Linked DNA regions of Canis lupus familiaris. The protein of the gene in region 1 interacts with the protein of each later gene in a pairwise test. Links are inferred from orthologs where the notes say so. Each region holds a gene or a part of one and is shown in the gene's direction. Other genes may lie near its edges. The genes, in order: HOMEZ, AEN and PRKAA2.

Evidence for each region.
Region 2: the proteins of HOMEZ (region 1) and AEN interact in binary tests that used the Homo sapiens proteins (3 or more experiments, as listed by UniProt). The two-hybrid records come from large-scale screens. The link is inferred for Canis lupus familiaris from reciprocal best matches to the Homo sapiens genes HOMEZ and AEN.
Region 3: the proteins of HOMEZ (region 1) and PRKAA2 interact in binary tests that used the Homo sapiens proteins (3 or more experiments, as listed by UniProt). The two-hybrid records come from large-scale screens. The link is inferred for Canis lupus familiaris from reciprocal best matches to the Homo sapiens genes HOMEZ and PRKAA2.

Annotation. Positions count from the first base shown.
Region 1 is NC_049229.1:3,676,115-3,686,768, reverse strand, and holds the start of HOMEZ (homeobox and leucine zipper protein Homez), read left to right. Parts: upstream 1-5,232; 5' UTR 5,233-5,681; coding exon 5,682-5,769; intron 5,770-9,871; exon of another isoform or gene 9,872-10,061; intron 10,062-10,338; exon of another isoform or gene 10,339-10,489; coding exon of another isoform or gene 10,490-10,529; intron 10,530-10,654. Other genes in the region: PPP1R3E (protein phosphatase 1 regulatory subunit 3E), read left to right, coding at 1-14, 243-665. UniProt on the Homo sapiens protein: May function as a transcriptional regulator.
Region 2 is NC_049224.1:52,302,793-52,312,421, forward strand, and holds the end of AEN (apoptosis-enhancing nuclease), read left to right. Parts: intron 1-26; exon of another isoform or gene 27-51; intron 52-3,277; coding exon 3,278-3,882; coding exon of another isoform or gene 3,883-3,894; intron 3,895-5,299; coding exon 5,300-5,500; intron 5,501-6,025; coding exon 6,026-6,259; 3' UTR 6,260-8,151; downstream 8,152-9,629. UniProt on the Homo sapiens protein: Exonuclease with activity against single- and double-stranded DNA and RNA. Mediates p53-induced apoptosis.
Region 3 is NC_049226.1:53,187,768-53,197,901, reverse strand, and holds part of PRKAA2 (5'-AMP-activated protein kinase catalytic subunit alpha-2), read left to right. Parts: intron 1-1,764; coding exon 1,765-1,858; intron 1,859-2,972; coding exon 2,973-3,117; intron 3,118-5,145; coding exon 5,146-5,233; intron 5,234-6,616; coding exon 6,617-6,841; intron 6,842-10,134. UniProt on the Homo sapiens protein: Catalytic subunit of AMP-activated protein kinase (AMPK), an energy sensor protein kinase that plays a key role in regulating cellular energy metabolism.

The DNA of each region.
Region 1 (10,654 bases):
CCCGCGGCCTCCAGGTAGGCGGGCGGCGGCGGCACGCCCCTTTCCCGGGACCTCCCCGACCCGGCCGCCGTGGGCGTGTGGGAGAGGATTTATGGAGGGACACCCTCGTCCACTCCCAACCCGAGGCTTGTGGCTCTTTCCTTTTGGGGCCACGCTCTCCGCGGGGCTCCACTCCCGACCCGGATTGGGCCGGTGCCTCGCCTGACCCCGCCCCCGTCTCTCCTTCCTCCCCCCTCCCCCAGGAGGCGCGCGCCGCCCTGGAGCCGGCCAGTGAGCCCGGCTTCGCCGCCCGCTTGCAGGCGCAGCGCATCTGCCTGGAACGCGCCGAGGCGGGCCCGTTGGGCGTGGCCGGGAGCGCGCGCGTGCTGGACCTGGCCTACGAGAAGCGCGTGAGCGTGCGCTGGAGCGCCGACGGCTGGCGGAGCCAACGCGAAGCGCCCGCCGCCTACGCCGGCCCGGCCCCGCCCCCGCCGCGCGCCGACCGCTTTGCCTTCCGCCTGCCCGCGCCGCCCATCGGGGGCGCCCTGCTTTTCGCCTTGCGCTACCGCGTGACCGGCCACGAGTTCTGGGACAACAACGGCGGCCGCGACTATGCGCTACGTGGGCCCGAGCACCCCGGGAGCGGCGGAGCCCCGGAGCCCCAGGGCTGGATCCACTTTATCTGAGCCACCTGCGGCCGACGGCGGGCAAACCAAAGGCACCCAGGGGCTGGGGGAGCCCGAAGATTTGGCGGGGAGGAATGAGAGAAACCGAGATTGGCTGGGAGCTGTCCGAGAGAGTCCACTGGGGAGGGAGAAATCAAAGGGGTGTGGGCAGTGGGCGGAAACCAGCAAGGTCGGGGACATGGGGATGGGAAGACAGGAGCTGGATGTGATAGGAACCCAAGGCATTAGAGGGATTAGGAACAAAGCGAAAGATTGATGTGATGTCCTATACCGTGAGCTAGTACTGGGAGAAAGGGAGTGGATTCGTCAGGCCTAGGCAGTGAAGGTTAGCCACCTCCTTGGGATCGAGTAGGAGCCCACCTGACCAAAGTCATTTGGATTGCTCATTCCTCTTCTAACCCGCCAATTGCCACCTCAGGTCCCGCAGTCCTGCCCATCCTAGCTTTAAACTCAGCCATAATTGCCTTGCTTAAGTCCCAGGAACTTGGCCATTGCTCCTCAGTCCCAGGCGTTATGACACGATTCCTTGGTTATCCCTGACGTTCCCGGGCTTAATTGACCCCTGCCTGGCCTGGGGAGTGATGGCACACGGCAATCAGAGCTCCTTCGCCCTCCTCCAGGCAGCCCTGGGGATTAAAATGAAGGCGAAACCAACTCCAGGCCTGACCTTGTAGCCAAATAATGCCGTGCCTGAAGAGTTGGTACACTCAGGGACTTCCAGAAAAATGCCAGCCTTATACCTTCCTAGGGTGCCTTTTAATGACCTCTAAGCACTTTATGCACTGTATTTGTCATGGAATAGTGAATCACAAGAATCCCTCTCATGATTCTGCCTCAGAAAGACTCACTGACTAGCCGTATTACTTTGGGCAAAGTTAACTTTACCTTTGTGGGCGCCAGTTTTCATCTTGGAAAATTAGATCTTGGCGAGGTGATCTCACAGTCTATTCTTGCTTTGATATTTTATGATCTATGAGTGGCAGAGTGTAGATTAGAAGCCCCAATCTCCAACCTAAACAGTTGGAGTGCTACAGTTCAGAACACACAGCACTTTCAGCATTTGGGTAGGGCTGAGGATGAATATTTGACACAAATATTCAGAGCCCAGGAAGCATCTCATAACCAGACTTCAGCCTGATGGTATTCCAGGGCTTCTTCCAAACTGCAGTTCATCCTCTGCCCCGTGGTTTTTGCTCTTGACCCCCACAGACTTCCAGTCTAGGTCCTTTGAGACAGTTTTGGGCAGCTGCATCTCTGTTGGGGAAAATAATGTTTGGGAGCCCCAGAGATGAAACCCTGTGAGGCTCTCTTTAGGATAAAGGATTATGGATATGAGAAATGGAAAACATTTCAAATCAAGAATCAAAGCCAATTAAGTGGCACCAGAAGATGGCAGTCTGTTCCATACCCTGAGCAAGTAAAGTGGGAAAGCTGGACTCTTCTATCACAGTCATGCCTTAGGTCTCCCCTCCTGGCTAACCTCTGCTAGTAGTTTTTCCTTTCCTTTCTTGCCCTATTCCTAAGCTTTTTCCTTTCCTTGTCCCTCTCTCTCATCACTTTAATTTTCCTTTTAGCATACAGGGTATTCACCTTCGTTTTCTCTTTTCCATTTGCCTCCATCTTCGTCCTTGTTGATCTCTGCTATTCCTTCTCCCTCCAGAAGGGGTGGAGAACCTTCTTCCTTTCTCCAAGACCATGGTTGATCCACCTTCCTTCCTCAGGCTCCTTCTTGACAGTCGTCTAGAAGGGAGAAGAGGGAAAAGAAGCAGTTCCTGATGCAGATGAACAGCTGCTCCCAGGTAACCAGTTCCCCACACCCTTTTCTATCTGTTACTACTTTCTTAAAAATTTCTGAATCCCCCTCTTCCTTATTACCAAGTCAGAGAGTGCATGCACATGGGCCCATACATGCATTCAGAACAGAGTATGGGGCTTGTTACCATGCCCCTCCTATCCAAAGCCTTAGTCTTTTGAAGGAAGATGGCCAAAAAAAGAGGAATCTTGAGTCACTCCTCAAAGAAATGCCGGTTTAAACATCATCCTTACCTGATGAAGAAAACAAAAAATTTCATGCATCTTGTGGATCATCTTCAGGTCAAAGTTCCAGCAGAGTGAAGAAAGAAATTCCTGGAAGCCACCAAACAATGTGCTTTTTAGTCATCGATGAAGAGCCCAAGGGAGGATGATGGAGAAGGAAGAGCCTGGGTTGAGGCTCAGTGTATAATAATCTCTTGCCTAATGTGTATGCATTATTGTCATGTTGTATTAACAATCATAATAGCTCACCTTTACTTAGCAACTAAAATCTGGTGTCTTGCATGCATTATAATCCTCAGAGCAACTCTAACAGTTGAGAAATATTATCCCTGTTTCAGAGATGAGAAAACAGGTCAGAAAAGCTAAGTAATTTGTTCCAAGCTCACGTCTCTGGTAAATGGCATAGTTAGGATCTCCAGTGTTTCTATGCATAGCCATGTTACTGTATTTTTTACTTTAAACAAAACTGAAAACTTTGCCATATATAATCTTTTATTGGGAAAAGAACACAATTTCCAATTGCTCTGCCTTCCCATCCTCCCAGTCTTCCAAACTGGCTCAGAGAAGGCATAGTACTGAGGGTCCCAAGCTCCATGCAGGAGCTTGCTGCTCTCTCCTGTACCAGTGTCCTGGCTCTCCAGAATCAGCAAGGTACCACACTGCCTGCCTGCTAGAGAACTTGGGAACCCATTTGAACTCCAGCTTTTCTGTACATTGATTGGGATTCTCTCCTGGCTGTAACCAACCCACACTTGTTGGTGTGACACCCTTTTCCACTCCCCGGACTAGTCTGGAACTGACCAGTCCCTAAAGTTTCCACTAAAAGGTATCCCTGACTTGGACAACTGCCAAATGGTCTGTGCTTGGGCCCTTTCTGCAAGCCTGGGTATTATTTTTTTTAATATTTTATTTATTTATTCACGAGAAACACACAGAGGCAGAGGCACAGGCAGAGGGAGAAGCAGGCTCCACGCAGGGAGCCCGATGTGGGACTCGATCCCAGGACCCCAGGGTCACGACCTGCGCCAAAGGCAAGTGCTAAACCGCTGAGCCACCCAGGTGCCCAAGCCTGGGTATTATTGAGTGGAAATGTAAACTGGTTGGAGACAAGGAACCAAGGATAATCCATTTTTCCCTGAGCTCTCTCTGTAGGAAGTACCATGGCTCACCCACCCCCCATTCTCAGCTTTAGAGAGCCAACACCTGAATCTTCTAGTTCTTCCCAAATAGAGCTGCCCCAGGGCCTGGGGGTAAGCTGGTGGTCTAATCTGGAATGGGAAATACTAGAAGTTTGAAGCAATCTTTAGAGATGTGTTACATATTAGGCATTGGGATGAGTCCTTTCCCCTAAAGGCTGGTGACTATATGAACAGGAACAATTTAACATATAATACGTCAGCTGTGGACGAGACAGCACTGTAAGAGAAAACATTACCCTGGTTAGGGGCTTGAACCCTTGAAGCAACACAGCTGGAACATTGCCCATTTCTCTCATCTAGACCTCAGATGTTTCCCTACACCAACCTGTCTTAACACCTACGAGCCTTCTTCTTGTACCTTGTTTCTCTTTATGAATGCAGCTCATTATTTCTCTTCATAGTAAGTCCTAACCCCTGAACTTTTCAGTCTAACACCCGCCTTCCCTTCTAACACCTGTGTTTCTCTGGAGCAACTCTGGATCCCTGCAATCTGCAAGTCATATAATCAGAGACCTGGAAAAGCTTATCTTTAGAGATCACTGGGGTCCCTGCTTCAGTACAGATGAGAACACAGGTCCGGAGATGGAGTGACTTCAGCAAGGTCAGAGAATTTGTTAGTGCAGCTGGAGATGGGGCTTAACCCCAGCCTTCCTGACCATATCCCACTCCCAGGCTAGAAAACAGGCTGCTGCACAATCAGACCTGGGGTTTTTCATGGCAAGGATAATATCACAAATGTTTCATTTTCTGCTGCTAGTTTCCACTCCCTTTTCTATACCGGCATAAAAAGAAACAAAAGGCACTTGTAGTTTTCTCTGTTCTCCCAAGCCTTGGCACTTTGGGTGATATTGCTAAGGAACAGTGAAGTTGCTAAAAAAAAAAAAAAAAAGACTGAATAACTCACCCATTGACTAGCTAACCTGGAGAGGAATTGCATGTTTGCTATGTGAATCCCCCCAAACCACAGTTCTCATCAGGCCGTCCCAGAGTGTCCTCATCCCCTTCACAGCGCAGCCCTGTTCTCTGGGCCCCAATCCCACTAGCGCTGAGCCTCACTTCAGCTTCCTCATGCAACTGCCCTCCCTTCTGGTTAAGAGGCCTCATGTTTGAAATAAAGGTAAAATATGAAAGTATATTATAAGATACTGAGATAAATTGATTTTTTCGGGGGGGGGGGGTGGCAAGAGACCCAGCGGCAAGATTCCTCTTCCCTATTTCCCATTTCTTGGTCATCTCATTTCCTAAAAGCCCTGTCCATTGGTGTCCTATTGCTACACAAAAGTTGGATGGGCAGAAGATACAGAGGAGCTGGGCAGCACTGGTATAAGACACCCCAATAGAATCCCACCATTTGGGTAGTGGCAGGAAAGTTATCAGGGGGCCCAGCTCTAGTTCCCTAGCACCCAGCACCAATTCCTGGTACAGTTAAAGGATAAAATCCCCGAGTTTCCCCTTGTGTCGGGGGACCATCTAAGTTACATTCTTCTTAAGCACTGAAGGGCAGAGCAAAGCCCTTTTCTCTATCAAGGGCAACCCTAAAGTAAAGCACAAGAAATATGAAGAGGAAAAGCAAAGACCTCTGTCTAATCCAGAGTGGAACAATAAATATTAAAGTGAGGCATCCTTGAAAAAGATCAGGTTCTAACATAATTTTGACTTCCACATCACCTGAACAATGAGAGAATTCAGTTACCCACAAATGAGACAATGTTTCTAATAGGAAAGCCCTAACCTGAGAATAATCAGATTCTCCTAATTTCATCATAATGGCCAAGTTGTGATGTCACTACAGAGCACCCACACTTACGTTGTGAAGCTAGATATGCTGAAGGGTAGAGTCAGCATGAGGAGCAGACACCCAAAGAGAGGTAAGTGGGGGGCTTCCCAGGGTTTTTCTCTGTGGCTTATTGCCTAAAGTCCCTCCGTGGCCCTAATGTCTTTCCTGGCTTCTCACAGTTTAGTGCTACGTCTGTCTGAAATTCTTCCACAAATTCCTTCACTGCAGCTTTAGCTATCCCAAATCTTTTAATAGTTGCAGTTCTGATTGGTCAGCCCTCAGCTTTTGGATTTCTTAGGAGACCGGGCACAAAATGGTGGAGCATGTTTCCCCTAAGTGAGGCAGAAACTCCCCATATCCATTTGGGTTGTCCCAGGGGTAGATGCTAGTTTTGGGGTGCCTGAAGCACAATTTTTGGGGCTTTTTAAAAAACTTATTCATGAGACACAGAGGCTGAGACATAGGCAGAGGGAGAAACAGGCTCCCCATGGGGAGTCCAATGCAGGACTCTATCCCAGGACACCGAGATCACACCCTGAGCCAAAGGCAGATGCTCAACCACTGAGCCACCCAGATGCCCCTTTTTGGAGACTTTTAAAAGAAAAACACATTAGTCACAAAAGTGAAAATAGTTTAGAATGAGAAAAGATAAAAATTTTAAAGAGCTGACAAATACAATATCATAAAATCAAGAAAAATAAAATTTTAAAACCTACTTGACAAGCATTTTTTTTTTTTTTTACAATTTTATTTCTGAGTGCATGCTCTTGATAGCTTCTATGATGAGAATGTTTTCTCTAAGGAGTATAGAAAAGTCTTCTACATGACACTTTTTTTTATTCTTAGTGATTTAGAAAATTTTCACCTTCACACTTTATAAGTGATAAGAATATCACAATTTTGGGCAGCCCTGGTGGCGCAGCGGTTTAGCGCCGCCTGCAGCCCAGGGCGTGATCCTGGAGACCCTGGATCGAGACCCTGGATCGAGTCCCACGTCAGGCTCTCTGTATGATGCCTGCTTCTCCCTCTGTCTGCTTCTGATGTCTGCTTCTCCCTCTGCCTCTCTCTCTCTCTGTATCTATGAATAAATAAATAAAATCTTAAAAAAAAATTAAAAAAAATCACAATTTTTTTCAGATTTTTATCAAACTTGAAAAAAACACTATCAAATTTCCTTGATGTATGTGATATAAAATTTCAGAGCATTTCAAATTTGTAATGACTAATATGCTCTGGATCGTTGACATTCGTATTAATGTAGATGTATTAGTCAGCTAGAGCTGCCATACAAAAATACAACAGACTGGGTGGCTTTAGCCAGAAATTCCCTTACAATTGTAGAGGGTAGAAGTCTGAGGTCAAGGTATCCACAGGGTTGACTTCATTCTGAGGTTCCTCTCCTTGGCTTATAGATACCCATCTCCCTATGTGTTCCCATGGTCGTTCCTATGTTCGTGTCTGTGTCCAAATTTCCTATTCTAAAGATACCAGTCATATTGGATTAGGACTCACCCTGAAGACCTCAGTTTAACTTAACTACCTCTTTATAGACCTTGTTTCCAAATACAGTTATATTCCAAGGTATCGAGACTTAGTACTTCACAGTAAGAATATGGAGTGTGTGTGTGTGTGTGTGGGGGGGTGGACAACACAGTTCAGCCCCTAACACTATGCTTACTATTAAACTATTTACAGAAGTAACTGCAAACCACAGTGATAGACCTACTCAACCCAAAGCAAATGTATCCCCAACTTAATTTCCTTAACCAATCCCAAAATGCCTATGGCCCCTCCACTGCCACTTGACAAAAGAAGTATAATGGAGGGGAAGTCAGAAAGGAAAGAGACATCAATCTTAGTCAATTGCAGTTGAAATATTTTTTTCAAGTTTTACAAAAAACTATGACCATGTTAACATGTTCTTGGGGCTCCTTCAGTGCTTTGGAAGAGGTCTGTGCAAGAGATGGCCCTGAAACTTCAGCTTCTTTAGCTATAGGGTAAATGTGCCTCTTGGTTAATCCTGCTAATATCTAAGTCATGCAAAGGAAGAGAGAACTTCCACCAATATGGGGGATTAACATCTCTATATTGAGGATGGCATGATGAGTCCCCATTCTTCAGCACTAGTCCCTGGAAGAGCTGGGAAGGTTCGTTATCTTGCTAAAGGTGGGGCCCTCCCATCTCGGATAGCCTGGATCTCTTCCTCTCTTCCAATCCCCATACAGTCTACTCCATCTTCTAAAGTTTTAGAGTGAAATCCACATAAGAGGGAGTCTTCAGCACACACTCTAGAATAGGGGCAGGTGGATTTCTTCTATCCTTGGATTTTTCCTCTCCTAAACCTGTCCAGTTCTGCTCCCTGTTCTGGAGTCTCAGGAGTGAGTGTCTTTTTTTTTTTTTTTAATTTATTTAAAGATTTTATTTATTTATTCCTGAGAGACACACATAGAGAGAGGCAGAGACATAGGCAGAGAGAGAAGCAGGCTCCATGCAGGGAGCCTGATGTGGACCCGATCCCAGGACTCCAGGATCACACCCTGAGCCAAAGGCAGGGGCTCAACTGCTGAGCCACCTAGGTGTCCCAGGAGTGAGTGTCTTAATGAGCAGAGTTGTCCACCTTTCAGATTTCCAAGCCTATGATCAGTGTTGCCAGAGAGCCAAACTGAATCCTCTAGGGGCAGGCACTAAGTTCCCACAGACATTGCCTGCCTGGCTTTCCAGCTTGATAAGCATGAGTTCTTCCCGGTCAACCGGGAAGTTATTTTTTATTTGTCTTGTTATTTGTTTGGATTATGAGAGAACAACATCTCCACTCAAAACTGAGGCTGCTGCTGCCTAAAATGTTTCACTTTTCCCTTCATCATGTAACAAACCACTGGGGCATGGGGATAGTCATGATTTAGGACAAAGTCTGCATACCACCAGTCCAGGCTTAAACCCTGAGGAATCAGAAGTTTCTAACTTTAAAGCTGAGTATATATGTTGTGCCCAAGATTGTGAATCCAAGAAACCACCAAGGAGCCGACACCGATGCAAGCACATGAGGGTTTATTAGGAAGCTCAAGCCTGGGTCCAAGTACACCCGACACAGCAGAGCAGGGGCTTGGACCCCGAAGTGGGTTCCAGCTGGGTTTTTATGGGCTGGTCTAGATGACTTCCAGAAGGGGTGGAGGAATTTCTCCATTCCAATATGGGGGAAAGGGTGGGGGAGTTTCTTAAGCTCTGTTTTCATTCCGATATGGGACTTTCTGTCAAGGGCATTCTGTCAAGGGCGTTCTGCGGTTTTTCCTGTAACTGAAGTAGGGTAAAGTTCAGCTCTTGTTCACAGGGGCCTGAGATGGCTGCCGAAGCTAAGATGACTGTACTTGTGCTAACGCTAAACTTGAGGTGCAATGGCCTTAATTTTCTCGGCCTCCACATATATATCTTTCCCTTGTTTATGATGTTTTTGCTGGATACACAGTTGTAAGATTGTGGGCCTGGCTCTTAAAAGGCTGAAATTTTTACTGAATGTAATGGGGCTAGGAGGTGTGCAGGGAGAAATACAGGGATAATACCATAAATAAAATAGGGCTCAGTGCTTAAGCTTATTTCTGATGTCTGACAACTATGACAGCATTCTAGACCTTAAATTGGAGGAACAAAGAATCCATAATGGGGGTTGATTTTGGAGGGAGTATACGGGGAGAGGTGGTGTCTGGAATACAGAGCGACGTCTGAAATTGTTTTATAAATTACTGTAGTTATGTAAACTATTAAGTGACCGAAATGGGCAAGAAGAGGCTTTTTTGAGGACCAGCATGAGAACAAAAGAATCACTTCAGAAAGGGCTGTTCCCAAGTTTAGTCTGAAGACTAAGAATCCAAAATATAAAAACTTTCAGCCCACAACTTAAGAGTGTGTGGCGACTTTGGCGAAACATCCACTTTACTGCCATCCCTTTCTTGACAGCAAAAACTAAGGTTCCTAAGTACAAGTGGGAGTTCCAGGTCCTCCTCACTGGGACGGAGAGGGGGCCTAGGGGTCTGGTGGGTCCCAAACAGGTGCTCCTTCCGGCACTAGTCTTTGGGAACACTCGTCCGCTGTTCCGAGGGTGCCGGGCTCCTGGGACCCTCGTCTTCCAGGCGGCGGGACATCTGATCCGCCCGGAGAGCAAGTTCCCGTTCGCTGTAGGCGCTGCGTTTCACAGTGACGCTGCTGCCGGCTGGGCAGGCGCGGATCGGCTCCACTTGTGCGCACGGCTGGCAAGGAGGTGCTGAAAAAGTCTCCCTTCAGGAGGAAGGAACGGGGAGTAGTCGCAAGGGAGTCCTGGACAATCCAACGAAGTGCGGCGGGGTCCTGGGGGACGCCTCCGGGAGGACCAGCGCTCAGCCTGCTCCGAAGGTCCGGCGCGTAAAGGTCGGGGGCGAGGGAGGGGGTATCAGTCGCAGCACCCTGGCCCCGGGGGACATCTTCCCTGCCCCAAGCAGCCAATCGCCACCCAGCGGAGGCCCACGCAGCCAATAACCGACTTCAGCCGAGATTCACGCAGCCAATGGCCGCCCGGTGCACCGCGCCGGTGCCCGCCCGCCGCCTCCGCCAATCGGGACTCGGGCCACCTTGGCGCCGCCCCCGCGGCCCGCCCCACCCGGCCGCCCCGCCTCCAACTCGCTCGAGCAGGGTTGGGCTAGACGGGCGCGCTCTCGGGGACAGGGGGGGCAGTCCCGGTCCCGGCCCTCCGCGCGGGTGGGCTTGGAGCAGGCCGCACCGGGCGGGAACCCCAGTCCCACCCCGGAGGCCCCCTGCCCTTTCTCCCCCTTTCCCCCCGGCCCATGGTGCGAGGCTGGGAGCCGCCGCCCGGGCCGGACCGCGGTGAGTGATCCCCAGCCCCTTCGACTTCCCCTCCCAGCCCCTGTGTGATCTCCGACCTCCGGAGCCCCATCCCCAGGCTCGGGGGGGAGGAGAATTCTAGGCTCGAAGTCGCCCGGTTCTCTCTC
Region 2 (9,629 bases), on another chromosome or scaffold:
CCATCACCTGTCACCGCAAGCAAGACCTGCTGGCTGCTGATCCCCAAAGAGGTGGTTCTGGGCTGGGAGGAGATTTGAGTGTGTCCTTACTGAAATAGCCGTGTGATTTGAGCCAAACTTCTCTCCAGTGTTGCTGAACACCCCCCACCCCCACCCCTATGGTGGCCCAGGATGGGCAAGCCGTGTCCTAGATAATTAATTGTTGGTTCTGACATGTCAGCAAGGTCAGGGCATGTAGAAGAGGACTTGCTTTCATCTCTTGAAACACAAGGCCACTATTTCTCAGGGAACTTGATTTCTGGATTCCTGGGAATCTTGAAGGCAGGGTCAGGGAGGCCACCCACCCTGCGCTCCCAGGCTCAGCCCCTGACCTGGGAGAAGGGAAGGGAAAGGGCCCAGTTCTCCCCATTGCCGAGCTGAGGCAAACTGAGCTTCTATGCTTGTCGGTTCTAATCTGTGACTCGTCAAGGTGAGGACGTTGATTATAGTTAGGTGCGCTTTTAAAAGGGAGAAGGCTTCTTGGGGAGTGGATGAGCAAGCCAGAGGGAGGATGAGTCAGGATGGGTCACGGAGCCTCGCCCTGGCCCAGGCATCACCAAGTGGCTCTCCTCCCACGATTCTTAATCTCTGTCCCTGTTCGGATTCTTCTCCAGAGCTCTGTCTATAAGGCAGTAGGGATTTCTTTCTCCATCAATCCCTGGATTCCGCCCAAACTTTCACCACCGTCCAGAAACAGCGGTCTCTCACTGTTCCCTCCATCGGGCTCCTCACCCCCTACCTCCTGGTCAGTTGGTCCACCAGCCCTCTTTGCCCTCTCACAGTGGAGGACCTTTGCCTTCTGGACTTTCAGTGTGTATTTCCTCTGAATGCCTTTCCCGTTCTGTGCTCCTAGCAGACCTTCCTGAAACCTTTCAACATGTCCCTCCACTGGCAGGCGTCACTAACCTGGCATTTGTCTGTCCAGTACTCGGACAGATGAGTCCTTAGTTCATTCACTACCCCCCATCCTGAGCACACCCTGGGAAGAGGCTGGCTGCCTCCTTGCCAGATGAGGAGTTCCCTGAATTCTGTCTGGTTCACCTCCAGCCCTGCTGCTCCCACAGTCTGGCAGGCCCGGCCTCAGCTCCCTTCACACACTTCTGAAGAGGACTTGCTGTATGCCGGGTCCTGGGCTGGCTGTTGGGGAAGAGGCAAAGACACACAGGGCTCTGACCCGGCCTTTGGAGCACTTTGGGGTAGACGCTCTGTAACTGTTGCCTTAAAGTGTAGTAAATGCTTCTCTGGTTGTGCTGTCAGGTGTGCAGGGGTGAATTTCTCTGTTCCCCAGCTAGATTGTAAATGCCTGGGCTCAGGAAGTCAGTGACTTACCTTGGGACTTGGGATTCCCTCAGTTGATCAGTAGCGGCCATTCTGGGGGTAGCAGCTTAGGGGCCTGAGGGTAGGGCCACCAAGGTGTGTGGTAGCCTTCCCAGGGTGGGGACAGAAGGTTAAGTGGTGAAAAGGTGAGAGGGACAGTTCCTCCAGCTGGGACCTGACCTACCTTGTGTTTTATGCCCTAGTGGCATCAGGCTGCTTGGGGAGGGGGGCTCCTCTTCCGACCCTGGCTTCCTTCCTCTTTCAGGCCTTTGCCCCTAACATGGCCACCAGTTCATCTCCTTGTCACCTGGAGGGTTACTGTTTCTTCTTCACAGAGATTTAATTTCTTCCAGCCAGCCTTCCAGAATCATCATCGGGCCAGCTCTGCTTCCCTAGCAATTCTAACCCAGCCCTGCGCACGCCTTGTGCTCTGTTTCTGTCTCTGCAGTGAGACTAATTATTTTCGAGGCCAGGATCTGCCTATGTTACTCTCTGCTCAGCAACTGGCACAGCTGGGACCCAAGGGAGCCTTAGGGTGGAACAACCCTTAGGGATAGAGGGTTGTTCCAGCAGGGCTCCCTGGAGGATGTAGAAAGGTTAGGAGGTATGTAAGTGGGAAGACAGGTAAGGGGAAAGCCTGTGGGTTGGGAGGGCAGTGAGTCCTGGCCGAGGCAGCTTTGGCCTGGGAAGAGCTGGTGACCAGTCAGGAGGAGAGCTTTAACTGCTCTGGGGAGAAGGGAGCAGGTAGTTACTGAGCCCCTACTGTATACAATGGATGCAGAGTGAGCACACGTGTATTGTGTCCTCCCATCTTCATTAGGACAGGTTGTAGTAGGGCCATTTCTCAAGCAAGGAACCTGAAGCTCAGCTCAGGTAACTTCTAAACAGCTGAGTTAAACCCTGCTCTGCCTTCTTGAAAGTCCTGGTTTTCTGGCCTGTTAAAAATGTACCAGGTGACTTAGCAAGTGAGTGAAGCTGTCCAAGCATGGTCCCTCGCTCTTGGGCACCTGCTGGCCTTGTTGCATGGGATTTGCAAACCCACATGAACTTCAGAAATCCCCAGTGTCCAGTAATGGAGGGACCTGCGGACCCTGCCTTTTCTGTTTCCCTTTTTGTGTGTTGAGCCAGCTTACGAGCATACCCCTGCCTTTAGTCTCTGGTGACTTAGCAAAATGCCTAGCTATCAAAAACTGTTTTAGATGCTGTTGTGATTAGTGAGGTAGAAAGTCATTTAATGAATTACCTTATTTTGGTTGACAGATACCGAAAATGCAACTATGGTGAGCCTCTTGTGAATTTTTTTTCTCTAGTTTCTGCTGAGGATGAGGGCCTGTGCTTTCACAAAGGATTCTTTTGGTTTTTGGTTTTTGGTTTTTTTAAAACTGGGATTAGATTGTGTGGCCAGCTCAGTTGGAAGAGTATGCGACTCTTGGTCTTGGGGTCATGAGTTTGAGCCTCACATTGGGTGTAGAGATAACTTAAATTTAAAAAATTTAAAAATGAGATTTGCGTGTGTATGTGTGTATGCATACACACGGTGTTTCTGTAACTTTTCTTTTCCCATATCTATACCTCTCTAAAGCTTGTTGATGCTCCTGAAGGTGTGCTCTGGCTTGAAGGTTGAGACCCTGGATGCTGGGTTCGCATCAACTCTTGTCTTTCTCACCTGTGAGATGAGAACGATCATACTTGTTCAGGTTGTTGGGAGTATTTAGTGATTCTATGTAAAGTACTTGGGATAGTGATTCACAGGGGAGCTTGACTCAGTGCAGTGATTATTTGAAAGGTCCTGGGCTCAGTCTGGGAGCCTGAGACAAAGTACAGGGCTCGTGGGCAGTGGGCAGTGGAGCCCTGCAGGCGGGGGCAGGGCTGGCCCTGCACACTTCTCACCCAGCCTCTCTGCCCTGTGTTGTCTCTGCAGAGCGCCGCCCCGCTGGCAGATCACCCCACCAGGCCACGCCTGCCCCGAGGTGTGAGCTGATTGGGATGGTACCCCGGGAAGGCCCAGAGTCTGCCCAGTGCCCGTGCCCTTCCCTGGCTAGCCTGAATACCAAGGATGTGCTTCGGAGAAAACACAAGCGGAAGAGTCGACAGCACCAGCGATTCATGGCCCGGAAAGCCCTTCTGCAGGAGCAGGGGCTGCTGAGCATGCCCCCCAAGCTGGGACCCTCCCCGCTGCCCATGCCATCAGAGGCACTGCCGGGCACTGAAGCCACCAGCAGTGGGATGCAGCGTCTGAGGAATGAACCTGGAGGTGCCTCGTGGAGCAGAAAGCCTACCCCCCGGGAATCCGCAGGGCCCCGGCCCAGCAAATGTGTGGCCATCGACTGTGAGATGGTGGGCACAGGACCCCGAGGGCGGGTGAGTGAGCTGGCCCGCTGCTCTGTAGTGAGTTACCATGGCGATGTCCTCTATGACAAGTACATTCGGCCTGAGATGCCCATCGTGGACTACCGCACTCGCTGGAGTGGTGTCACTCGGCAGCACATGCGCAAGGCCATCCCCTTCCAGGTGGCCCAGAAAGAGGTGAGGACATAGGTGAGGACATGTGTGGATGGGGGATGGCCAGGGAAGGGCAGCCCTGGGTTTGAGTCACCACTCAGCTGCTGGAAACGAGTTTGGGAAAGTTACTTAACCTCTGTGTAACGTGTGGCTTCCTTCTCCATAAACAAGGGTGCATAAAATCTGGACCCACCTCCATGGGAGGGTTGCTGGGTAGTCTTTGGGATAATGTTTGTGGAAAGACCGCCACTTGGAAGATGTGAAAGGCTCACAAGTTACATTTTCTTTTCGGTTGTAAAAGTATGATGTATCTATTTAGAATTTGCAAGGCCCACAGTCCTGTCATCTTCAGGCATCAGCGTTTCCATATTTTTTTAGTTATCCGGAGCTTTGAAAAAGATCAATTAGTGATTGGGATCGCACTAATGTGCTAGGAGTTCCCAAACGTATTTGACCATAGGAAGCACCTAAAGCACTGTTAAATCTTGAATCTTTGTCCCCAGATCCTTCCATGGAGATTCTCATGGGCTTGGGGATGGCTTTGAAAAATCATCATGCTGTGCAAACGTGCACATGACCTCCCTGGGGCCTGAGAAGGATGGAAGGCAGGGAAGAGAGGCATGCACTATGCACGTGGTGAGCGCTGAGCCAGAGACCAAAGGTTTCAGAGGTGGGAAGCGGAGTCCTGTATGGCCCCTTGTCCAGGGGCAGGATCCTGAGGAGACAGGCCATGTTGGCTAATGCTAACAAAAGCTGCTGTTAATGGGCTTATCTCTAGTGCCAGGCACAGTTCTGTGGACGTCATCCAGTGGGTCTTTATCCGTCGCCTCCTATGTACTGAGCTTTCATCGAGCATCACTAGTCAAGTCAAACACCGTCCCTGCTGTTTACACTGAGCTAACATGGGGGCAGGTGGATAGACTGTGCCAGACCTAGAGGTGTCCTTAGAAAACGTGATGAATCCACTCCACCACCATGGGAGAGAACAGCCCGGGTCCTGATGTGGCTGGGCCAGTCATGTGGGAGGCCTCCTGGCATGGAAGCCGAGGCGCCCCGAGAGGACTTGGCACAAGGTTGAGTGGGGTGGGGGAGTGCAGGGAAGTCTTCCAGTCTGAGCAGAGAGCCTGTGCCAGTAGAACAGAGTTGCTTGTATTGATCAACTAGAAGACTTCTTCCAGGAGCTACTTCTTAAAATGCTCAGACCCACCCCGGGGAGACAGCACTCTTACTTGTTCGAGAGCCTAAGTGTGCCCCGGGTCATAGTGAGTCGAAGGCCCAGGACTCAGACATGAGGCTGCGTGGCTGACCATGGAGCTCGTGGGTGCCCTCTCCACACTGCCCCCCCCCCCCTTTGGAGGGATCTGTGTGCCAGTGGCCAGGGTGGCAGCACATGTCTCGTGCCAGCTTGACAGCAGGGTCTTCCTCCCTCCTTCACTCATAGATCCTCAAGCTCCTGAAGGGCAAGGTGGTGGTGGGGCATGCGCTCCACAATGACTTCCAGGCCCTCAAGTACGTGCACCCTCGGAGCCAGACCCGGGATACCACTTACGTGCCCAACCTCCTCCACCAGCCTGGCCTCCACACCCGCACCCGGGTGTCTCTTAAGGACCTGGCCCTGCAGCTGCTCCACAAGAAGATCCAGGTGCGTGGGACGGGAGAAGGGGCCATGGGGTGTGCCTTCGGGCTTCCAGTCATTCCACCTTCCCCAGTCCCCGGGACCAGGGCGCTAAGTATGATGTCCCACACGTAGAGGCAGCCCTGGGTGTTTTCTCCACCATCCCTATTGTGACAGCCAACCACGTTCTTGCAGGCTGGGCTCTTGCAGACCTGTCCTCCACCCGGTCCCTGGCTCTGTCCCTGCCCTTCATGGAGAATCCACAAGGCGGAGCCTTTCCCAGGGGCAGCCAGTAACTCTCGCTCCCACTGTCCTTCTCATTATTCCGTCCGCTCTTCAAGCCTCTGAAGTCAGTTATACCACGGGTTATGTTTGAGTTGGGGACGCAGGGTCAGAGAGGATAGGTGGGGTACGGGATGTCTGAGATTGCTGTGCTCTCCTGAGCAGCACCCATGCCCTGCCCCCGTCCCGAGCCATACACAGCTGTTCCGAGAGTTCTGGGCCTGCACCAGATCCAGAATGGCGGGCAGTGATGAGGGCTCTTGTCTGCAGGCTGGCCAGCACGGGCACTCATCAGTGGAAGATGCCACGACAGCCATGGAGCTCTATCGGCTGGTGGAGGTGCAGTGGGAGCAGCAGCAGGCCAGCAGCCTGCCGCCCCGCCCGGAGGACCGAGAGCCTGACAGCAGCACGGACATGGAGCAGTACATGGAGGACCAGTACTGGCCAGAGGACCTGGCCCAGGGCACCCACGGAGAAACGGAGGCACAGGACAGAAGGGAGTGAGGCAGGAGAGCCCTGGGCAATTCATCCTGGGCAGGGCAGGGTGCAGCTAGCCTGTTGCCAGGGTCCGGGGAGTTGGGATCATCTATCCTTTTGGCTCCCTCTGCCCAGGGCTCTTGTGGGCACTTCCCCCCCATGGTTTGCTAATGGCACTTTATAGGCACTGTGAAAATGTCAGGTGGGTGAGCTATGGGGACCGAGCCAGAGGAGGGAGTGTGCCAGCAGACCATCCTAGCTGTCACTGCCCCCCCCCCCCCCCCCCCCGGTGTGCTGTCTCAGAGGGTGAGGTCTCCTCGTGGGGTGTTAGCTCAGCTCAGTGACCTGGGGTAAGGCCCTTTTCTCTTACTGCCCTCTGCATCTTCCTCCGCGGGCATTGTTAGGTTCACAGTGAACATGTCCTGAATCTATAGAGTGAAAGCCCCTCTAAGGGACATTCCTGCCTTTCTCAGATTTGCAGCTCTGGCCGTAGCCGTAGTAGGAACTCAGTGCTAGGCTGTGATGGGATAGCAGAGCCCGCAGGCCCAAGGGGAGCTGGCACCAGGCATCACCAGGCACTCTTCTGAGAGTGGGGAAAGCAGCTCTGTGTTGATGTTGGGTGGAGACTGTGGCATATTAATTTTGACCTAACTCGGGCATTCCTCATGCCCACAGTGCTGGGCTCTCTTAAGTACAAGCCTGAGAAACAAGACAGCAGTTTGAATTCTGGGACCTCTGTGCAGAGCTACCACCAAGGGACCTTTATTTATTAAGAGTAAAGCCAGGGCAGCCCGGGTGGCCCAGCGATTTAGTGCCGCCTTCAGACCGGGGTGTGATCCTGGAGACCTGGGGTCAAGTCCTGCTTGGGCTCCCGGCATGGAGCCTGCTTCTCCCTCTGCCTGTGTCTCTGCCTCTCTCTCTCTCTCTCTCTGTGCCTGTCATGAATAATTTAATTTTAAAAATCTTAAAAAAAAAAAGAAAAAAAGTAAGGCTGCCAGTGTGCAGGGGGCAGAGTGCATGTCCATGGGGCTAGGGCCAGGGAGTGTGTCCACTCCCGGGCTGGTGTCCCCTCAGGCTCTTTGATCCATAGTCATCACGGTTATTGGGATAACCGTCGGGATCTCCTATGCCACCCCTCTTTCATTGATTCACAAGGGCCCATTTGGGGTATTGAGGTTAGCCAAGACCTCAGGTCCACACGGACTTGTGAGCCCCATCCTTGCTTGCCACTTAATAGCTTTGCGACCTTGAGCAAGTATGTGACCTCACTCTTGAGCCTGTTTCCTCCTCTGTAAAATGAGGATGATGCTACAGCCCACCTCCCTGGGTTGTCATGGGGATCAGGTACCAGTGCCTGGCACGCAGCAAGCTGAGGTCATTGTGACCTGCTCTGTTTTCTTTAAGGCTGGTCGCGGCCTCTTCTGAATAACACCTGAGCCAGCCTCCTGGGATGGAGTGGCTCTGTCTGCAACAGGGCTGTCCTTGCTTGGCTGTTCCAACCGGGGCAGTCTAAGGACCCAGCGTGGAGGTGTGACCTGTGTCTGCTCAAGCATCCCTCTGCATGCGGGAAATAACAATGGTTTTTATGTCAGCCTGACCCAAGCAACAGGGCCAGGAACTCAGACACTACTGAAACCACACTACTTCCAGCTTGTCTGTCAGCTCCCTCCCAGGCTGCAGAGCAGGGACCTGGCTGAGGCATTGACCTCTGCTGGCCTGGTTCCAGGGCTTTGTTCTGGAGTCCTTAAACATCTGTCTGTAGCTGGCGCCAAACTGCCAGCCAGGCTGTAGTAGTTTCGATTCTTTGGGCTGTGAGTTGAAAAAGATGGAGTTATTACCGGTAGGGAAATGTACTGGGTTTAAAATCAGCTTTGTTATAAAACCATTTGTTCTGGAATAAAACTCAGATGGGATGCCTAGATGGCTCAGTGGTTGAGTGCCTGCCTTCCCCCCACCCAGGGTGAGATCCTGGAGTTCCAGGATTGAGTCCTATATCAGGCTCTGGGAATGGAGCCTGCTTCTCCCTCTTCTCTGCCTCTCTATCTCTCTGTCTCTCATGAATAAATAAATAAGTAATTTTTAAAAATAAAAAAATAAGACTCAATTAGAAAAGCGAGTGAAGTGGTCTTTTCTGAATTCTCAGGCTGGAGTGGGAGGGTGGCTTGGTGGAGGGATTGAGGGGTGCTGGGGCACTGAGTCTTGCTGGGTGCTTTGGCCTTTGAGGTGGGGGCTTTCAAGATAATGCTTTGGGATGTGACAACATTCTAGAGCTACAGAATTTATGTAGTTTATTTTTAAAAATTTTATAACTGCCCTATTGCAGAGCACAAAGTTTGTTTCTCCTGAAGCTGTTACTTTTCAAGAAGATGTTTAGTTCTAATTGTGATAAAACACACGTAACATACAGGTTTCCATCTTAACCCTTTCTAAGGGTACAGCTCAGTGATGGTAAGTATATTTCCATTGTACAGCCAATCTGTATGACAGAAATTTTCATCTTGCAAAACTAAAACTGCTCATTAAACACACTCCCCACACCCTCCTCCCTCCAGCCCCTGGCCACCACCATTCTACTTTCTGTTTCTATGAATTTGACTACCCCATGTAAGTAGAATCAAATAGTATTTGTCTTTGTGATGAGCTTATTTTGCTTAACATATGGTCCTCAAAGTTCATTCATGTTTAATATGTTAGAATTTCCTTCCCTTTTAAGACTGAATAATCATTTGGATGTATAGACCATATTTTGTTGGTCTGGTCAGTCCTCAACACTTGGGTTACTTCCCCCGCTTGTTTGAGAATAACACTGAAGGTAGGTGTGCGGTACCTTTGGAACTCCGCTTTTGGTTACCTTGGGTGTATACCCAGAAGTAAGATTGTTGGATCATACGGTGGTTCTGTTTGAAGTTTTTGAGGAACTGCCATACTGTGTTCCACAGTGGCTGCACCAATTTGCAGTCCCACCAACAGCCATGAGCTTACCCATTTCTCCACATTGTCACCCACACTTGTTATTTTGGGGTTTTTTTGTGTGCTTTTTTTTTTTTCAGGGGAGGGTCAGTATCCTAGTGGGTGTAGATACCTACGTCATTTTGGTTTTAATTTGCATTTCTCTAATGATTAGAGATTTTGAACATCTTTTTGCACGTTTATTGATATATAGTTCATTTTTCACTTTTTTTCTTTTTAAAAAGCAATTCCATTGTGATTTTACATGAACCACATGAAATTGCTGACATTTGACTGAAACACTTCTACCTCTCACAGAATTGAGAAATTCACATCTGTGCATTTTTGAGCACATGCACAGCTGAGACATGGTTGAATAGGAATTCAAAGGTCAAGGTGCTGGTAGGGATCGGTGCCTGACTCAGTTATGAATCACCCACTTGGCCTG
Region 3 (10,134 bases), on another chromosome or scaffold:
TAAGAAAAATTTTTTCTTTTTTCTATTTCTTTTTCAAATAGAACTAAGATTCTTATTTTTCAATGGCCTCAGCTTTGAGTGCCTAGAGGTAGATTAAAAAAATAAACACACATTCATCTATCCATCTGCTTAATTTTTTACGATGGAATTTTCTTTTTTTAAGATTTATTTATTTGAGAGAGAGAATGAGAGAGAGCACAAGGGGGGGTATGCAGAAGGAGAGAGAGTAGAGTCTTAAGCAGACTCCACACTGAGCATGGAACCTGATGTGGGGCTCCATCTCAGGACCCTGAAATTGTGACCTGGGCTGAAACCAGGTATTGGTCACGTCACCTAACTGCAACCCAGGGGCCCCGTTATGGAATGTTTTTAATGTATATGAAAGTCAAGTGATGAGGCCTCATGAATCTGTTGTTTGGCTTCAGCAGTTGCCAGTGTATTGTTTATCTGTTTCTTCCCACTTCTCCTGTCCCAAATTTTATGTTTTTTTTAACAATTTATTTTTTTAAAGATTTTATTCATTTATTTATTTGTTTGTTTGTTTATTTATTTATTTGAGAGAAACAGCAACAGAAATAGTGAGGAGGAGAGGGAGAAGCAGGCTCTTCACTGAGCTGGGAGCATGATGGGGATCTGATCCCAGGTCTCTGAGATCATGACCTGAGCTGAAGGCAGACACTTAACTGACTGAGCCACCCAGATGCCCCCCTAAATAGTATATAGACTCTTTTTAAATTTTAGAACACAAGCACATTTCATTATCACCCCTAAAAAATTTAAAGTAATTAATAATATTGTCAACTATCCAGTCAGTATTTAGACTTTAATAATTTTTAAAAGATTTTATTTATTCATGAGAGAGAGAGAAAGAGAAAGAGAGGCAGAGACACAGGCAGAGAGAGAAGCAGGCTCCATGCAGGGAGCCCAACGTGGGACTCAATCCCTGGTCTCCAGGATCAGGCCCTGGGCTGAAGGTGGCGCTAAACCACTGAGCCACCCGGGCTGCCCCATAAATGGTTTTTATAGTTGGTTTGTTGGAGTCAGAATCAAAATAAGTCTTGGGGCACCTGGATGGCTCAGTTGGTTAAGCGTCCAACTCGGTTTTCCCTCAGATCGTGATCTCTAGGTCATGAGAGCAAGCCCCCTGTTGGGCTCTTGCTTAGCATGGAATCTGCTTGAGATTTTCTTGTTCCCTCTCCCTCTGCCTCTCCTTCCAGAGCACATGCACTCTCCCTCTCTCTCTGTATAATAAATAAATCTTTTAAAAATTTCAGAACAAATCTCTACATTATAATAGATCAGTATGTCTCTTGATTTACTATTAATCTATAGGTTCATCTTTCCTTTTCTCACATTATATTTGTGAAGAAAAGGTCATTTGTCCACTTTCTGCATTTTGCTGATTATATCTCTTGTGTTATCATTTAACATTAACGATATTTTTAACTTGTATTTAAATATGATACCTGATTTCCATAGAGTGTAAAAAAATTGTTTAAATGGAGAAATGAATCCTTAGTTCTTGAAGAATGAAGAATTTCAAAGAATTTGTCGACATGAAAGGGAGAATCTGAAAAGTCCATAAGCCTCAGAAAGCAGAGAATTTTGTAAAGCTATCTTTATAGCTCTATGATTGTTTTGATAACATAATTTGTTGCCATCTTAAAATACTGTAAAATGTTGGAATATAAAATTGTAGCAATAATATACTAGCTTGATTTTTTTTTAAACTAACTTTTTAAATCTTTTTCATTTACAAAAAAGATACCAGGTGATCAGCACTCCAACAGATTTTTTTATGGTTATGGAATATGTGTCTGGTGGTGAATTATTTGACTACATCTGTAAACATGGACGGGTGAGTAACTTACTGTCTAGTACACACAGTAAGACCCTAAGCTAAAAACAAAGCAAAACAAAAGGATAGTAGGAAATAGCAAACCACAAAGTTTCTTCGAAGTCAGAGTTGTTTCTGTAATGAAACCCAACTAAAGATACAGAATATTAGACATAGTTTCTTTCTTAAAAAATATACCTTTTGAGGGGTATCTGTTAGGTTCAGTTGGTGAAGCATGTGACCCTTGATCTTGGGGTTATAAGTTTGAGCCCTACTTTAGGTGTTGTAGATATTGCTTAAAAATAAAATCTTAAAAAGAAATACACATTTTGGGGTACCTCCATGGCTCATTCAGTTAAGCATCTGCTTTTAGCTCAGGTAATAATCCTGGGGTCCCAGCATGGAGCCCTGCATCAGGTTCCTTGCTCAGTTGGGAGACTGTTTCTCCTTCTCCCTCTGCTACTCCCTTTGCTCCTGCTCTCTTGCTCTGTCTCTCAAGTAAATAAAATCTTTTTTTTTTTTTTTTAAGATTTTATTTATTTTTTCATGAGAGACACACAAGAGAGAAAGGCAGAGACACAGGCAAAGGGAGAAGCAGGCCCCATGCAGGGAGCCCGATGCAGGACTCGATCCCTGGTCTCCAGGATCACACCCTGGGCCAAAGGTGGCGCTAAACTGCTGAGCCACCTGGGCTGCCTTCAAGTAAATAACATCTTAAAAAAAAAAAAATACACCTTTCAAAATACTGATTTTAGGGAACATGTCCCACTTAATTGCCAACATGATTTTCAGAGTGAAAAATCTGTTCCATAACATTATGTTGAAGCTTCAATGATTTCCATTTTGTAGCACTTTCACATGAGTTCTTATCATTATGTTTTACTTGTTGATTGCCTAAAACATTGTGCACAGTGAGTAATATTAATTGAAAATTAAATCTAATTGATTAGCAGCAAAGAAGAGCCTTGTTGATTGACACGTTGAGCTCTAATGCAAGTTTTTGGTTTATCTGATTTGTTGAGGATTCTAACCTAATTCTAATTAGCTTGCTCAGTTACATTTGGGCTGTTGTGAAACTAAAACTCTTGCTCTATGTCCCAAATATTCTTAGTGTAGCTTCTATTATATGTGCTAGGTTGAAGAGGTGGAAGCAAGGCGACTCTTTCAGCAGATTCTGTCAGCTGTGGATTACTGTCATAGGCATATGGTGGTTCATCGAGACCTGAAACCAGAGAATGTGCTGTTGGATGCTCACATGAATGCCAAGATAGCTGATTTTGGTATGTAACTCCATGATTGTTCAGAAATGTACGAGTTGCCTTTTCAAGTGGGTCAGTAGCAACTGTTAAAGAACCATGAACTTGCAGTTTCAACTTTATAAATCCTGTACCATGAAAAGGGATTAGTGGCACAGTCTCCATGTTAGCTTGTTCTTGTTCTATTCATTTAAGCACATTGTTTAAAATGCACATTCTTCTAGAGAAGTTTAGCGGGCCAGATTCTAGGTAAATCCATTTACTCTGCATTTCCTCCTGAAGGAAAACTTAACTTTTTTTTTTTGTGGAGATTACAAACTCCTTTAAAAATCTAATGAAAATATGGGCACTTTCCTTGATGAATGCATTAAAGAGAGGTACGTGAAAATTTGCATGCAGTTTTGAAGACTTACAGTCTTTTTGACTTGGTCAAGGGTGAGTGTTGGTGGATTTTAGGGTAAAATCTAATCGTTTGCTAAAAAGAATAGGAGTTTTTGTCAGGAGTAAAACAAACCAAAAACAAAATGTAAATTTAATGCACCTAACACTTTCTAGAGTAAATATATCTGGAAAGAGTACCACAGTAGGATGTTTGGCAGAAGGATTAGGAAGTGAGAGATTATAGAAGGAGCCATAGGGCAGCCCCAGTGGCGCAGCGGTTTAGCACCGCCTGCGGCCCAGGGCGTGATCCTGGAGACCTGGGATCGAGTCCCACGTTGGGCTCCCTGCATGGTGCCTGCTTCTTCCTCTGCCTGTGTCTCTGCCTTTCTCTCTAGCTGTGTCTCTATGAATAAATAAATAAAATCTTAAAAAAAAAAAAAAAAAGAAAGAACCATGGAAAGGTGCCAGAGTTCAGCATTGCTTATTTAAAGTTTCTGTCTATACCTTGACTTTAAAAACTATATTTCTCTTCCTTCTCTAAATCGCAAAACTCCCTAGTATGGTAGTTTAACTAGAATTTTGGTTCTGCAGATTATTTTTTCTATGTTGAATTAAAGCTTTCCAAATTAAAAACTTTTGGAAATCTTTTTTTTTTTTTTTTAAGATTTTATTTATTCATGAGAGACACAGATAGAGGCGGAGACACAGGCAGGGGGAGAAGCAGGCTCCATGTGGGGAGCCCGATGTGGGACTCGATCCCGGGTCTCCAGGATCCACCTGAGCCAAAGGCAGATGCTTAACCACTGAGCCACCCTGGCATCCCACTTTTGGAAATCATTATAAACTGGAGCCTTTCTGATTTCTACTTAGAGATTTTTAAAAAAGATTTTATTCATTTACTCATAAGAGAGAGAGAGAGAGGCATAGGCAGGAGAGGGGGGCGGGGGCAGAGACATAGGGAAAGAGAGAAGCAGGCTCCATGCAGGGAGCCTGATGTGGGACTTGATCCTGGGACTCCAGGATCATGGGCCAAAGGCAGGTGCTCAACCCCTGAGCCACCCAGGCATCCGAGGGATTTTTTTTTAAAAAAGGGTTTGAAAGCATAGGATAAAAAGTAATGGTCTCTATTTCATTCTTTCAGCTGTAGGAATGGGTAAATAATATTTTGATGCTTTTATGTCTGGAAAACTTCATATAATTTAGAATAACCTCATATATATCAAGTGAATCAACATTTTAAAAAAAGATTATTTTAGAGCATAAGGGAGGGGAAGGGCAGAAGGAGAAGGAGAGAGAGAGAATCCCAAGCAGACTCCACGTGGAGCCCAACATCAGACTCAATCCCACAACCCCAAGATCATGACCTACACCGAAACCAAGAGTTGGATGCTCAACCGACACCCATGGGCCCCAAGTGAATTAACATTTTTATTTAGAAAAGGGATTTAATTCCAATCATACATGATATGCTATATCTTTTTTTGTCAGGTCAGGATGTAAGCACTCTGAAATGGTCTTTTTCTAGTCTCAGGTGCTTTCTACTGCTTTTTAAAAATAATTATAAAATAATATATTTAGAACTTTGAGGAATTGACTTTTTTTTTCCATGCATTTATCTATATCTACTTTTTAAAACATCTAGCACAAAGTAAATATTGCTCTCATTTTCAGGTTTGTCTAATATGATGTCAGATGGTGAATTTCTGAGAACTAGTTGTGGATCTCCGAATTATGCAGCACCCGAAGTCATCTCGGGCAGGTAATAATAGATTCATGCAGAGTAAGCTGTTTATAATCTTTTATTCAGTCTAATTACATTTAATTAAAATATATTCTGTTCAGAGAATGAGATTGTTAACACAATAGGAACAAATTGTCCCTTTAATTTTTCCATTGTTGAAGAGAGAATAGTTATATTAAACAATTTTTTAAACATTTGGTTTAGATTTTGTTATGTATATTTAAGGAGTTCTTCCATAAAAAAAAATGTACTGAAACCAATCTTGATTTTTTTTCATTTTGGAAAAGTACAAATAAGAAAGCATTTGTTAAATTCAAGCTAGAGTCATCATTTACTTACCAGACACAGTCCTTAAATAATAATTTACATATTCTTTTATAAAGTACTATATAGAGTATTACTTTGATTTGTCTTTAGAACAATGAGGTTTTTCAGAGATAGTATTGTCTTTTCATGTAATTCATTGTATAAGTAGAGGCTGGAACTTACTCACCGGTATATTTAAAACATGTTTATAAAGATGGCAGTGGTAAACAGGAGCTTTTCAGTGACCAGTGTCTGATTTAGAAAATTAACAATTTTCTGAGAGAAAATGAAGAAAAGGCATTATTGCAATGAGCACGTATAGGAGTTTTGGACAAGTACAAGCAAATGATGTAAATGATAGACAGCAATTTTTTTGAAATGGATTATATTCTTTTAATTGGAATTGTAGAGATTCACTTTGTTATCTGAGACCGAAGTTTGAGTTTGTCAGTGGGGTATCAGGGACATTTTAAAACTGCAGAAAGGTGAGAGAAAAAAAGAATAATATTCAAGGCATAGGGTCATGTGGAACAAAGCTAATCTTAGTCCCATGAGCTAACCTAACAAGTGATTAAAATGAAAGTCATACTCAGGATAATGTGATACAAGACAAATACTTTCAAAGAGATTGCTCTAGTACTAGTTAGGCACTGTAATGTTTGAAATACTCTTTGAAATAGGCATGTAAGGCATAAAAATTATATTTATGCATTTTCTTTCTTGTAGTTTTGTGGTAAAAGGATTAAGTCTAAACGTTATAGTATTGTTTTTTCAAGTTTATGGTCATTTGCTTTGATGTTTCCATAAAAAAAATCAACCATTGTTAAGTTTTATATTTTTTTAGTCAATTAGTAAGTTCAGTGAATTTGTGACAAATAAAATACTTTTGTCTAGGAAAACTTGAGTAGCAATTGCTGAAACAAATTCTCTGTGGAGAACAAGTCTTGAGTGTTGGGGTGTGGCCATGGACTTTATTAAAGGCTTGCAAATCAGTATACACCGATTCTCTACCATGTGTATATAGAAACAGGTTATATGTGAATGAGAAGAAGTGGCACTTGGATTTCAGGTTTGTGTTGTCATCTTGTTTCTTAGATTGTATGCAGGTCCTGAAGTTGATATCTGGAGCTGCGGTGTTATTTTGTATGCCCTTCTTTGTGGCACCCTCCCATTTGATGATGAGCATGTACCTACGTTATTTAAGAAGATCCGAGGGGGTGTTTTTTATATCCCAGAATATCTCAATCGTTCTGTTGCCACTCTCTTGATGCATATGCTGCAAGTTGACCCCCTGAAACGAGCAACTATCAAAGATATAAGGTGATGATTCTTCTTGTTACTGTTATGTACATTTTACAGTATTAATAATAGTACCACTAACTGAATGCCTGCTTTATGTTAAACTCTGTAATACTTACTGTGTAGGAATTTTGCTTTCCTTTTTACACAAACCTGATCATGTCACTCATCTTTTAAATATTTCAGATTGTCTCCCAAACTTTTTAGTTTAGGTAGCAAGTCCTCTAAGGCCCTTCGGAATGAGGCTCCATTTCCTCCTGTTGAGGTCTCACTCTTGCACTCCCCACACCTCTGGTCTCTCAGTGCTTTAGCTACACTGAGCTTTTCCTCATTCCTCAAACATATATTTTATGCCTTCATGTTCTAATTTAAATTATTGCCTCTGATGCCTTTTCTACTTTTTTTGACCTGATAGATTTCCATTCATCCTTTAAAATTCTGCTTACATATCATCTCCTTTGTGAAATCGCTTCTGATTCCCTTACGCAATGTTAGTCCCTTACACTCTCATGATTTCCACGTTTTGTTCATAGTTTTATTTTTTCATTATTTTGTATTTAGCTATTATTACTCAGCGCATCTTTCTCCATCCTACATTAACTCCATAAGGGTAGAGAGAATGTCTCACACATCTTAGTACATGCAGTGCTAAATGGCCCATGAATGTAGTCTATGCTAAGAAATGATTTGAATAAATTTCAGATGGAATATGGGGTATTAAGTATTTTATATATGGTTGATGAAATAAAGCATTAAAAGTTTTGTTAAGATTTTGAATCCAAAAATAACTGCTAGCACTGTGAAGGATTCTTGTTATGTGAGAAACTTTGGAACTTGCAGTGGCTGGTGTTATTGTGAATATGACCTTTATATAGCACACACAAGCCACCGATAATGCATTGCCTTCTACTCTTTACTTACCATGCATGTTATGTTTCTTAGGGTTTTTTTGTTCTTAACTAACATTTCATCAGTTATTCATTTACAAACACATTCTTTTGCCACCTTTCCAGAATCTGTCATCTTATCTTCATAAGCCAGAATGGCTATTTAGAGACCTGTGACTCTTGGAATGTTTAAATGATGGATGTGGTTTTTTATGTGATTGCTGCATATCTCTTCTACGAGAAGGGACTAATTCTTTCCACATTTGTATACTGTTTTCTTCTCCTAGCCTTTCTTAAGCTCTCCAGGCCTCATACATAAAATAAATGTGTGATTGTAAATTAGTACCAAGTTCAGTTATGGAAATGAACTTAGTAGGAAAAAACCTTTTGTGTTCCCAGGTTTTTTTGTTGTTGTTACCTTTTGTTTTTGCAGTTTTTTTTTTTTTTTAAAGATTTAAAAAAATTTTTATTTATTCATAGAGACACACACACAGAGAGGCAGAGACACAGGCAGAGGGAGAAGTGGTCTCCATGCAGGGAGCCCAACGCGGGACTCGATCCCGGGTCTCCAGGATCACGCCCCGGGCTGAAAGCGGTGCTAAACTGCTGCGCCACTGGGGCTGCCCTGCAGTTGTTTTTTTTGTCGTTGTTGTTACCTTTTGTGTTCACAGTTGGGTTTTTTTGTTGTTGTTGTTGTTTGTTTTGTGTTGTTTTGTTTTACTTATAAGTTAAGTTCTACACCTAGCCTCGGGCTTGAACTCACAATCCCCAGATCAAGAGTCATGTGCTCTACTGACTGAGCCAGTTGGGAGCCCCAGTCACTTAAATGGCTTTTCCTTAGAAAGAAAATTAGATATGCTTCCTGTGACTTATTTGTTCCATAACTGGAGCTTGTATCTCCCTCTCCCCTTCACCCATTTTGCCTATCCCCCTCAAACCCCCCTCCCTGCAGTCATTGGTTCTCTACTTATAGGTCTAATGCTGCTTTTTGTTTATTTCTTTTTTAGATTCCACCTATGAATGAAATCATATGGTATTTATTTTCTCAGACTTATTTCACTTAGCATAGTGCCCTCTTCGTCCATTTTGTTGCAAATGGCACAATCTCATTTTTTCTTAAGGCTGTGCAATACTCCCTTGTATATGTATCCCACATGTTCCTTGTCTATTTGTTGGTTAATAGACATTTAGTTTGCTTCCATATCTTGGCTGTTGTAAATAATGCTGCAATAAACACAGGAGTCCTTATATTTTTTTGAATTAATGTTTTTGTTTTCTCTAGGTAAATACTCAGTAGTGATATTATTGGATCATATTGTATTTCCATTTCAAATTTTTTGAGAAAGTTCCGTACTCTTTTTCACAGTGGCTGTACCAATTTACATTCGCACCAGCAGTGTGCAGGGCTTCCTTTTAATCTGCATCCTTGTCAACACTTATTATTTCTTGTCTTTTTTATTTTAGCCATGCTTACTGGTGTAAGGTGATATCTCATTGTGGTTTTGATTTGCATTTCCCTGATTACAGAGCTTGAGCATCTTTTCATGTGTCTGTTGGCTTTCTGTATGTCGTCTTTGGAAAAATGCCTCTTCAGGTCCTCTGCCTGTTTTTTAATTGATTTTTTTTTTAATTTTGTTTTGTTTTTTGGTGTTGAACTGTATAACTTCTTTATATGTTTTGGATACTAACCCCTTATTTGAATATATAAATTGCAAGTATCTTCTCCCATTCAGTAGGTTGCCTTTTTTGTTTTGTTAATGGTTTCCTTCTCTGTGCAAAAGCTTTTGATTTGATGTAGTCCCAATAGTTTATTTTTGCTTTTGTTTCCCTTGCCTTAGGAGAGATACTTAGAAAAATGTTGTTATGGCTGGTGTCAGAGATAGTACTGCCTATGTTTTTTCTGGGAATTTTATGGTTTTAGATTTCACATTTAGGCCTTTAATTTATTTTGAGTTTATTTTTGTGTATGATGTCAGAAAGTGGTCAAGTTTCATTCTTTTACATATAGCTGTCCAGTTTTTCCAGCACCATTTATTGAAGAGACTGCCTTTTCCCCAATGTATAGTCTTGTTTCCTTTGTCATAGATTAATTGACCGTATAAACGTAGGTTTATTTTTGGGCTCTCAGTTCTGTTCCATTTATGTGTCAGTTTTTGTGCCAATACCATGCTTTTTTTTTTTTTTTTTTTTTTTTAAAGATTTTCTTTACTAGAGAGAGAGCAAGAGAGCGTGAGTGTGAGCAGGGGGAAGATCAGAGCGGAGAAGCAGACTCCCTTTTGAGCAGGGCGCTTGATGTGGGGCTTAATCTCAGGACTTCAGGATCATGACCTGAGTAGAAGGCAGATGCTTAACGGACTGAGCCACCCTGGTGCCCCAATACCATACTGTTTTAATTACTATAGATTTGTAATATATCTTGAAATCTGG